Lepisosteus oculatus: one gene and its partner. The protein of the gene in region 2 interacts with the protein of the main gene of each other region in a biochemical or structural test. Links are inferred from orthologs where the notes say so. Each region holds a gene or a part of one and is shown on either strand. Other genes may lie near its edges.

Region 1 (7,512 bases), on a different chromosome or scaffold from region 2:
AAAAGAGGTGGCTGTGTATCACCAATGACTGAATAAAAGAAGCACCTGCCACACAAAGGTATGGTCTAGAAAAGAACTAACAAAAACAAACATTATGTATTTATGTACACATTTAAAATAAATAATTGGTTCTGTGGTCTCAATCCATTGTGTTCCGTTGGCTTCTGTTAAAAGTTTTGTCACATTTATAAAGAAAAATCTGAAATTGTCAAACAAATGCAGCATTAATGTACTGAAATCAAATCAAAGGAAAACTAAGCTGTGTACGCACAATGAGTGAACAACACTCCGGGTACACTGTTGCCTGACCTGAACATTTGATACTCAACAAACCGTTCGTGTAGGAGAAAATTGTTTTCAGAACCTGTACAGAAACAACATTAATAATTCAAGTACCTGTTAGAAGCAAGGCTGAGAACCACCCATCGGCTGGTACCAGTCTTATGCAATATGTGAAGAGGTCAGACAGTCAATGTTAAATGTTAAAATATTGGTGCAAGTAATCTATTTCCTTTGACATTGCTTACTTAAAGTGTGCAAAGTAGCATTGAGATGCCCATTCATTAGTAACCATGATTAAAAAGAATGCATCTGTTAAAGGTTTATGTCATTTTACTATGGAACTAAATAGTTTCCTATAAAACATTATATATCTTTTAGATCAACTTTTCTTTAGAAACGTGCTTTATCAGATAACCTCTTGAATCTAAAAATGTAAAACCTTTAAAATGTCCTTCCACATTTTCTTCTATGCTAAATTACCGATTTTAAATTACTAGAATACATGAAAGGCTAGATACATACAATGAGTATGTATTATCAATCTTTTTACACTAAGACAAATCAAGGGTTGATATTTGTATCGAGATATCTAACTCCATCGTTACTTTTAGCACTCGCTGAAACCAACCGTACATTGCAAACTGTCCATGAATATTTACAAATTTGGATATCACAAGTTACATACCAGTTTTCGGTCATTTACAATGTTCAATTTAAGTAAGCAGAGGCTACAAAAGAACATTTCCAGTGAGCGAAAGTAATGTCATACCTGTTGAAGACGAAGCTTGGCATTAAACAGTTTTAAATCGACACATACAGAAATTTCATATAACCCGTTCTGTTTAAAGTGCTTTCGAAATCACCCAAAGTAAATGAAATGTGTTTAAGATAATGTGACATCCATTACCCTAGGTACCTCCTGTTTAAGACAAAAAAAGAACTCTTCTTCGGGGAGAAACTCTTACCTTCATGGTGAAAACTCCTAATTGTATTCGCTCTGCTGGCAGACCTTTCCGAATACTGGCCCAGCACTGATCTGGAGCGGTTGGGGTCCTGATCTCCATTCCCTGAATGCATGTGATAGAGGTCCACCATGTACTGCGGGACCACCGCAAGCTTGCTTGGAGTTGGTCTGCGCTTCAGTCCAAACATATTAAGGAGGCGAAGCTCGAATTCGTTAAGAACGTCCTCCGATTGCTGCGTGCTTTGCCGAGACGATTCGCTGAACTTCCTTCGGCCAACCTCCGGAATAAGTCCGACCGAACCTCCGAGCAACACCTGACAGAGCAGCAGCACCATGAGAGCACGGACCCCGGCGACCATGATCAATCTGTGCCGGAGAGAAAAAAGCGGTGTGTCAGTACCTGAGTGTTGTTATCACATGTACGGTATTGATAGTTTAAGTAAAAAATGTTTACCACAAGATATGGCCATGCGAACAGTAAAATGTTTTCTTTCCAGAGGAAGAATTTAAAGCAAGCATGTTAAAAGACATTATACTTTGATGTGAGGAACAAAAACAAATTTTGGAAATGATATTCCCGCTGGCCACGATAAATAAAATGGGAGACTGATAAGAACATAATAAAGGGGCATAGGTTAAACACGCAATAAGGGAGGGGGTATATAAAAGAACACAGTCGATTTAACTAAAAAGATAAAACGGTTTTAAAAAAATCAAAGGAGATGAATGAGAAGGAGGAAAAGAAGGCAGACAAGAAGGCGCAACTGCGCAAAGATAAGACTCAAAAAATGAAAAGACAGGAATCGTCTTTATAAGCTTAAAAAAATGCAAGAATCATAAAAGAATATAGCGATCAAAAAGATAAATAGCTATGGCGAGTGAAGGGAAAGAACAATACTGAAAAGGAGTGTTACACGTGTGTAGTTGTTGAAGCTGTTTACGTGAAGGTGTTGTGTCTGGAATAGGATTAGATCATAGAGTTACTGAGAGACAGCCACACAGGTGTTAAATCTAACGTGCTTCCACTGGCCACCACAAATCAAAGGCGAAAAACAAAAAGCAAAAACAACTACCTTTAAGAAAGTGGTGATCGACTAAGAAGCACTCTCTGACACGTCCATTGAAACAGTTTCCACATGGAAAAAAACCCAGAAATATGCGTATATATCCCGAATGCACTCCTTTTTAAAACAGAAGCCAATGCCTTCTGGCTGGATCTTTCGTGGTCATAATCAGCGTCCTCTTTTGCCTGCCCTTTTCAACCTTCCTTATAGGTGTTTTCTTTACAAGTGCAGCTCTCAGGATAAAGTCCAGGTAAAATTAAACTCACGATTGATTAGGAAGTACACTGTTGATGGTGGTATCTTTACTTCTCCCCATTACGGATCCGATTCCCTGTGGACCAACCAAAGGTGTTTTTTAAGTCTGCAGTTACCTATAAGGAAGTGCTCTGTCCGATCGCTGGTTTTCCTGCTTTGTAGTCCGATATTTTCCACATTACTTAGTGTTATTCCACACAGCTATTCTGCAGAAAACAGAAAGCCTCCACAGTACAGCCCGCCTCTTCTTACACATATTCTCAGCAGCTGTGAAGTCGGCAGGCGAGAAAGAATCGAGTCAGATTACTGATACGAAAATATCACTTGAGATTAACCAGAAAAAACGTAAATACAAATAGGCAAAACCTAATTCCTTAAGGTGTCATCTTTGATAATCATTAAAACAACAGTAAAATTAAAGTTACGGGAGTTTTACGGTAGGGTATACTGCCGCTCATTACAAACTACAAAGATAACTTTCGGAGCGTCTCCCCGATTTAGCGTGCAATGGTTCAGTACAATTGATAGAAGCTTTTTTTTATGCGTCCTTTTGTTGCTCAGTGATGTCACTACCACAAGCCTGTCAATCATGCACCAAAGGCACCTCCTGTACTTGTTGGAGTAAATTCTAGTCCTGAAGCTCTACATAAGGTTAAAGAAGTTCTGTATCTGCGAACGGATTTTTAATCTGCTGAATTTTGTCAGTTTAGGAAGTTTTTAAGGCTTGTTATCAAGCAAGACTTTGAAACTGACAAAGACTATGGATATCCCTTCTAGATCCAAATAAACTATGCAACTTCTAAGTTTTTATTAAAAAGTTCAAAATCCTAATCACTTGCGAGGTTACACATGGATAATTACCACTTGAGTAAAGCAACTTTACTTTAAATTATAAATACAATATAAAAAATGAAAATGGCAATATCAATTCAAATCAGAGAAAATTACACATTGTAATTATATTGCATAAACTGTACTAGATTAAATGTTTCCTAGAATATTCTTAAAGCTATTTTTAATATCACAAAAAAGCCTATGTATGTTAACTGTAAAGCCAATGTTTAGTGTATAAATATATAAATTCAGTTGTTCTTTTCCAGACCACAACATTTCTTTACCGAGAGAAAAGGTCCTTCGAAACTAAGCACAAATTCGATCAAAACATGGCACAGCAAAACTGCAAAATTATCTTTTATTAAGTAACAAAAGAAAAACATCTGGGTTATAAGAAATCATAACATTAATTTACAGTGGACGAAATAGACTCTTTCCTCGTGGGTGATACGACTGAACATTTACGAAACGGTGTTAAGACTGAGAAATGTTTTTTTTTTTCTCTGTTGTGTGGTTGTCCCCTGTAAAGAACCATTCGTTATGTTGCGGATTTGTTTTTCGTTTCTGTAAAGTGTTAAAAACTCAACAAAGTTAACATATATAGACGTTTGCAACGCTGTTTACAGGGAGTTCAAAATTGTAAGAATCTGAAAGGAAATGTCAAAATTAGATACAGTGCGCCAACTTGTGGAGAGATTTAAAAAGTGTGATCACATGTGTATTAAACAAAGATTCATTGTATATTTTTCTCAGATAAAAAGTAAAATAATTTGAGTCTCGCATTACACAAATCGGATTATCCTCGGAACTGCTACTGCTTCGCCCCCCGATCCTCCCCCCCACCATGGACGTGTAGAATACCGGTAGTTAGCAAAAGCTTGTTAAAACTGAACAAGGAAAGCACATGCATGCATACCTTTACATATTTAAATTACTGCAGTCACAGAAACATCAAGAGGAATAACAACGATGTATTAGAGCTTTAAAGTTTATTGACTTTGAATTCAAATTCTTTAAAACTGACCAAATAACGAATGTATTAGCAAACTGTAATAAAATACAGTAAACATACCTCAAGAGCACCCATACTTATTTAAGTAAAGGGTTTTAAGAATGGATAAGAGCAATACAGACAGGTAATACACACTTAACGAAAACGCGCAGAATAAAGACAGGCTGTGAAGTTAATTCAGCTGCTTTACCTACGTTGAGGAAACTGTGAACCAGTGGACCAGATTCGGCACATTTAATCAAGATCTTCTCTTAGAGAAATGGGAAGATCTCCTCTCCTTTCCTTTCAGTCACAAATGAATAAAAAGTAGCATTGGGGCAAAACATAGGCCTACCTAATGGCAGAACTAATTATTTTCAGGGAGATACAATTTGACTGTTAAGATGAAAACCATCTGACTGCTTAGTTCGCATTTAAAGGATTCAAATTTTGAAACCTATTTTTTTTAATTAGGTTTTGTGACCTAGCCAGTCACCATCAACTACTAAAAACAACTTCTGACGCCGGTATTACTTCACTTTTTATGTCACTTTATTCAGCACCTCTTTTAAATGGAAGCAGAGAAAAAAAAAATATAAATGTAGTTATGTTTTGGTCTGTAATCATATCTACTTTACAATTCAGAAAAACGATTTACAGAGGCTGTTAAGATAAGATTAAATTGTCAATTGCTAATTTAAAACTTTTATCAGGTAAAATAAGATATTCAGACCCAATAGTTTGATTTCGGGAGTTCTTGATTATTACAATATTAATAAAAATAATCAATCTTGATCGATCCCGTTTTATCCGTGATAAACGCTAACCATGCGATATTCTGTATTTAGAAGTAGGTTAACTTGTTAAAAATTGTTAATCTAAATTCAAAACGTTACATTGTATGAATTACCTGCATCCACACTCATCCACTATCATATCTTCGTAATGCCTTAATACAACATTGTCGTTGTTATCATAGTACAGCATTGAAATAGGAGACAATTTAATAGGAACACAGCAAGGTTGAGGGGTACCATTTGGGTCGAAGGAATGGAGTAGAGTTTGTAAAATTGCGTGGTTAGTACCATTAAGACTTTCACTTAAGGGAAATGGGCATTCTCCATGACAATAATTAGCCATGTACCCCTGAGGAGCAATTATCCAATCTTGCCAACCTACATCCTTGAAATCAATGTACAGTCGCCTTGGTTTACAAATGTTGCTAGGAGTTACAGGCAGATAATAGGCACTTCTTTTTATTCTAGATCTGCACTGATGGGGGTTCAAAGAAACAACGATCAGTGACGTGTAAAACTGAGGTAGAGTTCCAATAAAATTATGCCCAATGTCATTTCCTGAATTCGGCAATTTAAAAGGGTCCATGCCGTTACTTGGATCACTGGGATGAATAGCAAGAACAAGCCCATAGTTTTTATCGGGTTTTCTCCAGGCCTCTGCGACAGCCGTCAAGTCCAACGTGATGGATCCAGGAACAAGTTGAAAAGTCTGTGACAGCAGCAGCTTCCGATTGGATTTGCGCGACATTCCTTTCAATGCTGTCTTCTGAACTTTGTATAGTGAGATAATGAATATGGGTGGATTTATCGAGAATCGACGTAAATTCTGGTTGAATTTTATTTCCAGCTGAGCCAACGTGAGCTTCTCAACCTCTTCAAGCACAGAAACATTGAAGTAAATGTGCTTTTCTACACACGTTGAACACTGGCGGCTTGATCCAGAAATTACTCTACCTACAAAAAAACAACAACAACGTTTATCAGCGTAAATTGCAGCAAAACATACAATTATCAAAGTCATGTTAAAATGATTAATGAAATTCCTCAAAAGACTCTTACATAGATAGGGTAATAAATATGAACATATCAAAATTAAACAACTATTTAACGTTTTTTGAAACAATAACGTCGATCTTTTAAATAAGGAATGACGAAAATAGTAAACATAATACAGTGCAGGTTATACGACATTCACATTGCAACAAGAAGTGAGAAAATACCTTGGTCCTGAATAAATCGCACGATATTTCCACGGACATCGAATTCTGATATCCTGCAGGAATCATTTTCTGCTTCAAGGGATGGCTTGGAGCTCGTCTTTGTCTTGAACATTTTCCATAATAAGGAAGGTACTGCTAAATTGTCTGAAGGCTTTGGGCGGCTAGAAAGACCCAATGAATTCAGAAACCACTTTTCTTGTTTTCTCAAATCTTCAGACTTGCCTCCGTAGCAAAAACCAAGAAAGAACGTAAGAACTATAGCTTTTAAAATTACAACGTACATACTGTATTTCTTAAGGTTTCTTTAAACCGAATGAGGTTATGAAAAAAAAACAGAGTTAACTGTTTCACCCATGTGTTCCCGATAAAAACTAAGTCAAACCAACGGCGTTTGCAGGAGATTGATTAAGAGGTGTTAATTGCAGGATAAAATCTTGTGTTCTATTGGCTATATTCAATTGTCAATCAGTAGTCCTACAATGTACAACGGGAGAACGCACACCTCGGGGTTTACAAAAAGCTGTGAACATGCAAGTGGAATCTAATTAACCCCCCCTTTGTGCTAGTGGAGCACTTTTGTTCTCAACTGAAACTCCAGCGGGAGTTTTTTTCAGTAACAAGATAATGTAAAATACTGTGGGAATGGCCGTGTTTTTGTAAGGTTGTAGGCCTAATACCCGAACAAACCCGCTACTAGCCACATCAAGTTCCGGTAAGATGTAGCTCCGGATAAAGCAATAGGGTGTGTAAAATAGCGCTTTGGACCACGGAATCTAGTTCATGTGACAATGGGTCATATTTAAATAATTACAGGCTAAAAATGGTTGGTTTGAAATTTCCCTGCTTTGAAAAGTCGAGGTCTTAACTCTCTTCCTCCTGCTATTGCTGAATGTGTCGACACAGTAAAAACCATATATTCTATAATTCTTAATTATGCATAAAACTCATGTTTCCATATTCACGTTCATCAAATACTAGCCTTTTATTTTTAAAAGTCAAACCCCAACGTAGGAGGGATGTACTATTTGGGTACGTTGGGTACAAAGAGTTTTAGATTCGCACTGTTGATTGCAATTTGTATGCTTATCCTTCATCTTGTAAGCGT
Region 2 (8,098 bases):
CAGTCTGACCAAAGATTTCACAGGAGGTCAGGAAGTGTACAGTAGATCACAGCTTAACACAGAGCCAACTGTGTCCAGCAGGCAGGCTTCTATAATAAACTGAGTGAACCTGGTTTTGTAGTACACATGAATTGGAAAACCTTTGGAAGATATTGTAAGTATTTTTCTTGAATGTGATTGTGTAAAAAACAGAAAAAGGTATTGACTGTCTGAACTCAAAAGTAAAAGGCTTTTGTTGTAGATTCATGAGCTTAATGTTTTTATCAGAAAGAAACAGGGCTGTCTAAATTGTCCACACAGTGCTGGAAATCTTTCCTTTCTTCCCCATTGCTAGTCAGATTTTTCAAGCAGAATAAAAATGTAAAGAAAATGGAGGTGACAGAAACCCATAGAGCACATTTGGACTGAGTTATTCATGTGTTGCAAAATTTGTTGTGCTATTCACACTGAAATTCAGCTTAGGTCACTAACTGAATATAAATGTATCGATTGTATATTTATTGAGGCTTCAAGGGATGCACGTGGGTGTTTTTTGTATATTTTAGATGAATGGACAAGTTAAGATCTGTTAACTTTAGATTAGTAGCAGTTGTGCATTTACTGGTTTTCTTTTATGTCTTTTATTTTTAGCTCTGTTTTTCCTACAGTTCTGATATTCCAAAGCCAAATACAAACTTTTGCTTTTGCTGCTATTAAGTGCAGTATATGCACATGAAAACTACATTGGAAATGGTTGCACAACCTTTGGTTTTCATGAAAAGTTAAAAGATGCTTTTGAGCTCAAAAGAAACATTAGATAGGGTGCCAATAATTCTACCATTTGTAGGACAGTAAAATGTTTTCTTAAAATCAATGTTTTTTTTCTTATAAGAGCATACAAAGGATGAGTCAATGTTCATATATACCTGTAGACAAATGTTCATATAAAGTGTTAAATAGTTGGAATTCTTCAATGATGTGTGACCTGTTCACTTAAATGTTATACAAAAGGGGTGTTATGAGTATTTTTTATCTGTGGGAGGAAAAGCTGTATTTTCTTTCTTTAAATTATGAGTAAATTGAAAACAAGAGGGAAAAAAACATCAACAACAAATAACTTGGATGTCCCAAATAATTTTCAACAGATGTGCAACATTTGCAGTCTCAATAACAGGAGGCAGTGACGGGGGGGATAGAGTGATCTGCAGACAAAAGTACATTTTGTCTGTTTGTTTTTTGCAAACAAGAAGAGTTCAAAACAAGAGTGGCAATCCTTTCACAGGCCTTTGATTCTGCCAGCTTGTCTTTTGTTACCTGTTGGTTCCTGTTCAGGTGGCAGTGTGGAGGAGTGTTCAGGGCTCTAGACTTGCATATGGGAGGCTCCAATGCTAGATGAACCACTACTGCTACACTCCCCTTGACCAAATTTTGTTACTGTGATTGCTCAAGTAATGTGGCTAGGTGTATAAATGGATACAATGTACGTCTATTTGGATAAAACCATCAGACAAAGAGCTTTTCCACCCTGAAGTGGCACCAGAAATTGAATGTCCGAGGGTGTGTCTCATATTAGTGCAAGTGTTTGAGACACCATCACAAAACTTTGTGTTAGTTTTAAAATAGTGGATAGTTTTTCTACTTAAAGATCGTAAATAATGTGCTGAATGTCCTCCTCTCTTTGTGGCTTTTCCGTTGTCCTGATATTCATAAAATAAATAACTATTACAGTACGGAACTTGCGGTTTTGTGTTTGCAGTGCTGTTGAACTGAAATATTCCCTGATGGCTTTGCCTGATTAAAAACCATGTTTAAGTGATTATTTAAAAAAAGCAGAGGAAACAATTTCTCCAAAAGAATTTACCATGTTTTGTCCCATGATCTGAACCACAGTTGCCCTCTCCGTCTCTAGAACTGTCCTTACTGTGTTCCTGAAAATGCTTTATTTTCAAAAACTCTTTTATCTCCCAAGTCTCTGTAAGCTTTCACCATTCCAGCAATAAAGTTATGCACTCTTCAAAAAAGGTATCGGCCTGGTGGAACTCTTTTAAAAACACAAATAAAACAAAGGTCCTTGTTGTCATGAGGCATTTTGAACTGCATGTCTTCATGTTTTTCCACAGAGAATCTTACTAGCAGTAGGGTTCTCTTCAGAATTCTGGGCAATTATTTTAATTGCTTTCTTCAGCACATTATATGAGCAGTATATCAAGAAAATGTCCTTGTCTGTCAATTCAAAAAGTAGGACTAACGTGATCAGCTTTTTTGCACACGGGGAATTACAAATAAACAGGTTTAGTAATCTATGCAGGTGATCATGTTTCTGCTTCAGTCTTCCACTGCCCGTTTGACTTCTAAGAACATTGCCTGTCTCATGTGCCACATCTGGACACGAGTTTGAGCCCGGGTCAGGTCTTGTTTTGATGTTGAGGTTGTTTCAACCTGTCCATCACCTTGTTTTCATATTGATTCTTTTTTACCCTACCCTACTTTCTACTGGTTATGTGCAAAAGGTGGGACAAAACTTTTTTACACAAATCGTTTAAAGAAAAAATGTAAATCTGCTGTACAGGGAAGTTCGAGGACCTTAAGTAATACCAGCTTGATTGACATTGTTGCAATGCTGCTGCCCAAATTGTTTTTAAAACTCCATTTATTGGGGAATGTGTTACTTTTTTGTTAACTTACACACTTTTAAACCACCTTTTTTGTTTTTAAAGATGTTGTAAAATTCATTCACACACAAATTAAGAAACTGTGTTGCCCAGGCATTTTAGATCTTGATGAATCACCTGAATAGAATCTGAGAGCACCTGTACTAGTTCCTCTCTTGGGTATCTGGATTATGAGAAGTAGAGGTTTGTCTTTGTCCTGGGAGATACAGCAGCCACTATCTGTCTGTCATAGCCAAAGAGTGAATGGAGGAAACAACACTTAACAACCTTAGGGACTATCACAGTGGCGATTGGTTAGGAAATGATGCATGATAAAAAAAGATCTTCACAAACATGAACGCAATCTTTTGCAAAAACATTCACCCTCAGTAGTTGGTTTATTGTCTACCTAAGTCTCCTTCTTGGCACATAAAGAATCATAGAAGAAAATGCAGAAAAATGATTCCACTAGTGTGACAGTTGTCTCACTTCCCCAGCCTTGTCTAACTTTCATCAGTCAGAGCAGTCTGTTCTGCAATGAAAAGTTCCTGTATCTTCAGTTTATAACAGTGGCATTCGCACCTTGAAGCTTGGTCTGATCAGATCTCAGGAACTCAGAATAGAGGGATCTGGTTAGTACTAGGCCAGTATCCTCAAAGGAGTTCCAGTTTCCTGTTGTAAGTGTTGGTGGTGGACCAGTAGGAGGCATCTTCCCTCTGGATCTGAATTTAAAAAAAAAAACAGTTTCATAGAATACTGACTACTGTCATATGAGCGTGTATTTGGATGAGATGTTAAACTAAGGCCCTGGGTACTTGGTCTTTAAAGATCCCACAGCACTGTTTGTAGGAGAATTGTAATTAATAAGCAATATCAATGTTTTAAAGATGCATCGCTCAATTAACCTATTAATTAATTTCGGTTCCAGGTCAATTTCAAAATCCTACTCTCTCTCAAAGTGTCCTGAGGTTATGGGGCCTGGGTGGCTGCTAATGCAGAAACAGAGACACAAAAGTCTAAAGAAGCAACCATCAAGTGATAGACAGTTCAGTCAGGAAAAAAAGCAGCAGTTTACAGGGGTCCCACTGGGCGGGATCAGGGTTGGAGCCAATATCTAGTTATTCTTGAAGGTCATCCTATAAACCTCTTATTTAAACACTTGTAACAGGTGTTTGATCAATTAAGCAATTTTTCTTTCAGTATTGGGGACACTTGTCCTTGCGGGCTGAAGAATGTTATATTTTTTTGTTAAATGATCTCTACATTACTTCAGAACCAGAGCCAGGTTGGGGCTCTCCCTACCACCGCTGCAGAGCACTGGCCTGAACGTACTGTACAGAGAGCAAAGACTTCTAACCCTGGTCCTGGATCCAGAAAGATTTATTGTATATACTGCACAGTAGGTCTTCTTAAATCCATCACCTCTAAGGACTGGGAACACCTGTGCCTGTTATTGGTCCATTATGGACTCTATTGGAAATAACAGGCACAGGGTTCGTGTGTTTGTGATGAACTACTGTACAGTGCCTAACAACTCTGGGATTTATTTATTTGGACGACAAACCTCAGGAGCCAGCTGAGTGTAAATGGTTAACAGATAAAAGTTGATGAATGACCTCCACTCGTTATTTATCCCCCTTCAAACTGCTGTATGGGAAAACTCCACTTGAGGAATTTTGACTTCAACCAGGTGAATTTTTATTCTCCATCCATTCAGCCACCCATCCACTTACAGTACTAACTGCTTTATCCAACACAGATTTGCAAGGGAGCCTGAGCTTTTCTTTTTTATTCAACTGTGGTTTTAAATGAAAATAATAACAACTAGCCAATATGGAAATTCCTGAAAAATATTTTAAGGTATTTTATTGGTAATGGATATTTGTAATGAGTCTTTGAAAAAGTCATTTCTGTAACAGATGATTCACTATTTATTGGTCTAACAAAATCAAAGCGAATTAATCTGTTTAATGGTCTGGCCAGTGCAGTTTTACTGAACCCTGCAGCATCATCTCATATCGCTGTTCAACTAGTATTTTATTCTGTCTGGTTTTCCTTGGACAGATTCAGTTACTGTGCTATTTAGACAATATACTCAACAGGTAAGAAGGATGATCTTTACATAACGGATTGGCTTTTAATTTTCTATATATACATGTACAGTACAGTACAGTAATAACTCTACTCTTTAGGTGGACGACTTTGAATCACCTTCAAAGTTCCGAAGAAATACTGGAGAATTTCAGTGTGTGAGTGAAAATGTTTTCCAGCAATCCTTAAAATACCAAAGGCGAGGACAAATGTAGATCCGTAGATTGGGAACATCCATTCCACAAACGGTTACGTACAGTAGAATCCTTTGTGCCAGGCTCGTAGCAAGCAATGCCTTGCATAAAGTAGTCCAAGGGCGGCTGAATTGTGCAGTCGGTGCTGTGTAAGCTCCATACCTATCCGTGAAGCGCTGCTCCGAGCTCGGTGAGGTCACTAGTGGGTGCTGCAGACACTCGGAGAGCAAAGAAGGCAAAGACGCAGAAAGCTAGCACCGGACTGTTGACGGGGAAAGTGAAACGTTAAGAGTCCCGTACCGTAGGTTCTATCAGTATCACTATTGATTTATTTTTTGGGAAACAACAACAACAACAACAACAACAACTGCGTATTTAGGATCGAAGAGTGCAGCCCATAGTCTGAGTCGGCCTACCGGAGAAGGTAAGAATGACAGAACAGTTAAAATTCCCAGTTACTTGGAAAGGAAAACGTGCTGTGTTCCTGCGATGAAAACAGGAGGATTTTGATTCCGTGGAGCTCACTTCAACCGAACAGTGTTTTTATTACTTAACGTTGTGTTTACGTTGTTTTTTTTAACTCGTTCTCAAAAGGCGATCCAAAAGGCAGTCATGGAAATCTCATTGTACCCTTTTGATCTTACTAAATAAGTTTAGACAAAACGCATGAGAAAAAAAGCCGATAGTATACCGCACTGAGTCTTGAAAGAAAGCCAGAGGTAAGCAATACAGATATTGTCCGGTATGTGAAAACTTTAGTTTTCTGTCTCTAGGGCTTTTTTCCCAGATTTTCGTCAAGGCTTGTTTAATCTAACCATTTTAGTTTTTTCGTTGTTAGCAAAGTTTATGCATTTTCGGAGAAGGCACGATGCTCTGCCATCTGCGAATGTAGAGATGAGATTACTACAACCTGCGAGTATCTCTTAATGCCCTGCAGTGCAAATCAATAGAAACACAACTTTGTGAATGTTGAGGATAGACACACGAAACGTTTTTGGCATTGTTAGTTTGGAATTCATGGGGAATTAAGCGTCTGTTTGAATATTAAAAGCTATTTATGAAACTGCACGAAAGAAGCGCTGCTTTGGAAAGGAGGCGCAGAAACAGTTTTTTTTAGAGAATGTTAAGCATATTTACGCCTTTGAATGTGTTCCCCATGAATTGTCTACTAAATGGCCAGTTTGGCGAAAATAAAGCAAACGACATACTGTATAGGCTGTATTTTTTTTTGTTCTTTTACACTCAGTGTGACACTTCAGAATGACGTTTTTCTGTCAGAAGATTGACAAACTTTCGACTCTATGTCCTGTAATCGACCATAGGATTGCAAACGTGAGCAGTGGAGCAACATTTATCATGTGTGCATTCACTGGAACATCTTAACTTCCCCTTTGCTCAGGAGATTTCGATACACTTGTGTACACACTGAAAAAACGCATGTTCAATACACGTAGAAGAGATATCATTGACAAATGGGTATAGTTTAACAAACAAACGGGTAAACCTAATTTGTTTATAAACTTTAAGGTACCGGGCGCAAATATCGATAGCTATTAGGTATTTTATACAGCTGAAAGGACGTATCACCTTTGTACTTACATGTAAATGTGACATATTAAAACGTTTCGGTGCCTTTAAAACTTGTTTTACAAAACGACGTCTTTTAGATTTTAAAATCCTAAATACACTGCTAGAGAGTGTGTTCCACATTTCATAAGCAGGGGCAGGTCTGATGATTGTGGTGTGCAGTTAGTCTGTTTTTTTTTTTCCTTTTCGAAAGTACAGTATCTCTGGGTGAATAAATTATTCCCCGATGCTGATGAGAGCTGCCTACATTTTCTCGCACAGATAGCAAGAAAGCAGATGATTTTCCGGGGAAAAAAGGTGACCGATCTCACCCTCAATCTTGTTAAAAATTTGATTTTTCTGAAATGACATCATGCTTGAGTAGCTGCATGTTCATTTCCGTAAAGGTGTTGTAGGTCTGATTGAAAATATAAAAATGTACTTCAGTTAAGTATTTTTTTTTCGCAATTTAAGCCACCAATTCAATGGTATGTTTAGCTGTCATACTGAGAATACAGTATGCAATTATTGAATGAGGGCTTAAATAGAACTGAAATATATATTACCATAAAATATTTAGTTCCTGCCTAGTGTTATTAACATGCATTCTTCATTTAGGTGTTACCTATGGGAGATAGCAGAAGTATATTTCAGGGCAGAAGTTAATTTGTATGAATAATTTAACTGTTTGGGATCTGACTCAAGTATTCAGACTCCACAAAGGCATTGGCAGTCTAAACACTGGACTTCTTCAGAATCGCCAGTGACACATAAACCAGGGGACACAAGTGAAAACTGCAGGCAAGTGTGTCAGAAAACCTTCCAGGCCATCTTGTTGAGGATGAGATCCTCAGGTCAGTTCCCTACTAGCAGCCTGATGGACTAGGTGTCCTGTTTGTGATTTTTATGTTCCGATGTGGATCAGGTCCAAACAGCTGAAATCACGTCCAGTTTTTACAAATCATTAAGCATTATACCCACTCCAAGACATCCTAGACCTCCGGAGGACTGAGTCTTGGGTGACTGAGGAAGACATACAGTATGCATTTATTGTCCTCCTGCTTGATGTACTTACAGTACAGTATGCACATCCATTCCACAGCAGACAATGAAACAGGTATCGCTCATTGTGAGGAGGTGGCCCTGCTTGTCACAGAACAGACTCGGGGCCTGTCGTGTGGCAGATCCTGCAGCAGATGGAATTGGCGCATCATTACGGTAATTACGTCTGCAGGTGACAAATATGCCTGAGGTGATGTAGTGGATTGTTTTTAGCGCCATTGTCACAGCTTACCATCCAGATCCATCAGCAGACGGCGTCAGACTACCCTCGTTCCTGCAAACACCGAGGCGTCCTGCATATTCCGTTTGTGGGGTTTGTCCGTGTTTCCCAGGTTTAAGAGCTGGGGTGTTGAGAGGCGCACGAGAAAAGCAATTACAGTATGAGACGTCTGAAAAAGAGGGCAAAGACCCACAAGGGTGACAAGAGTGGGTCCTGCCCTGTGCTCTCCACTGAACTTTCTACAGTATACCACTGCTGGAACTGGGTCCCGTAGTGACAGAGACTCGCAGTAGGGTCTCTCATTTGTGAGGGTCATTTAAATAAGCTGCTTAAAG

Evidence for each region. The genes of interacting proteins can lie anywhere in the genome.
Region 1: the proteins of bmpr1ba (region 2) and bmp2a form a complex in vitro, tested with the Homo sapiens proteins (3 studies listed by BioGRID and IntAct, with this or other methods). The link is inferred for Lepisosteus oculatus from reciprocal best matches to the Homo sapiens genes BMPR1B and BMP2.

Annotation. Positions count from the first base shown.
Region 1 is NC_090697.1:40,822,285-40,829,796, reverse strand, and holds the start of bmp2a (bone morphogenetic protein 2), read right to left. Parts: upstream 3,063-7,512; 5' UTR 2,627-3,062; coding exon 2,577-2,626; exon of another isoform or gene 2,320-2,576; intron 1,613-2,319; coding exon 1,248-1,612; intron 1-1,247. Other genes in the region: gdf3 (protein DVR-1), read right to left, coding at 5,297-6,141, 6,408-6,690. UniProt on the Homo sapiens protein: Growth factor of the TGF-beta superfamily that plays essential roles in many developmental processes, including cardiogenesis, neurogenesis, and osteogenesis. Induces cartilage and bone formation.
Region 2 is NC_090698.1:13,785,434-13,793,531, reverse strand, and holds the start of bmpr1ba (bone morphogenetic protein receptor type-1B), read left to right. Parts: upstream 1-5,071; 5' UTR 5,072-5,339; intron 5,340-8,098. UniProt on the Homo sapiens protein: On ligand binding, forms a receptor complex consisting of two type II and two type I transmembrane serine/threonine kinases.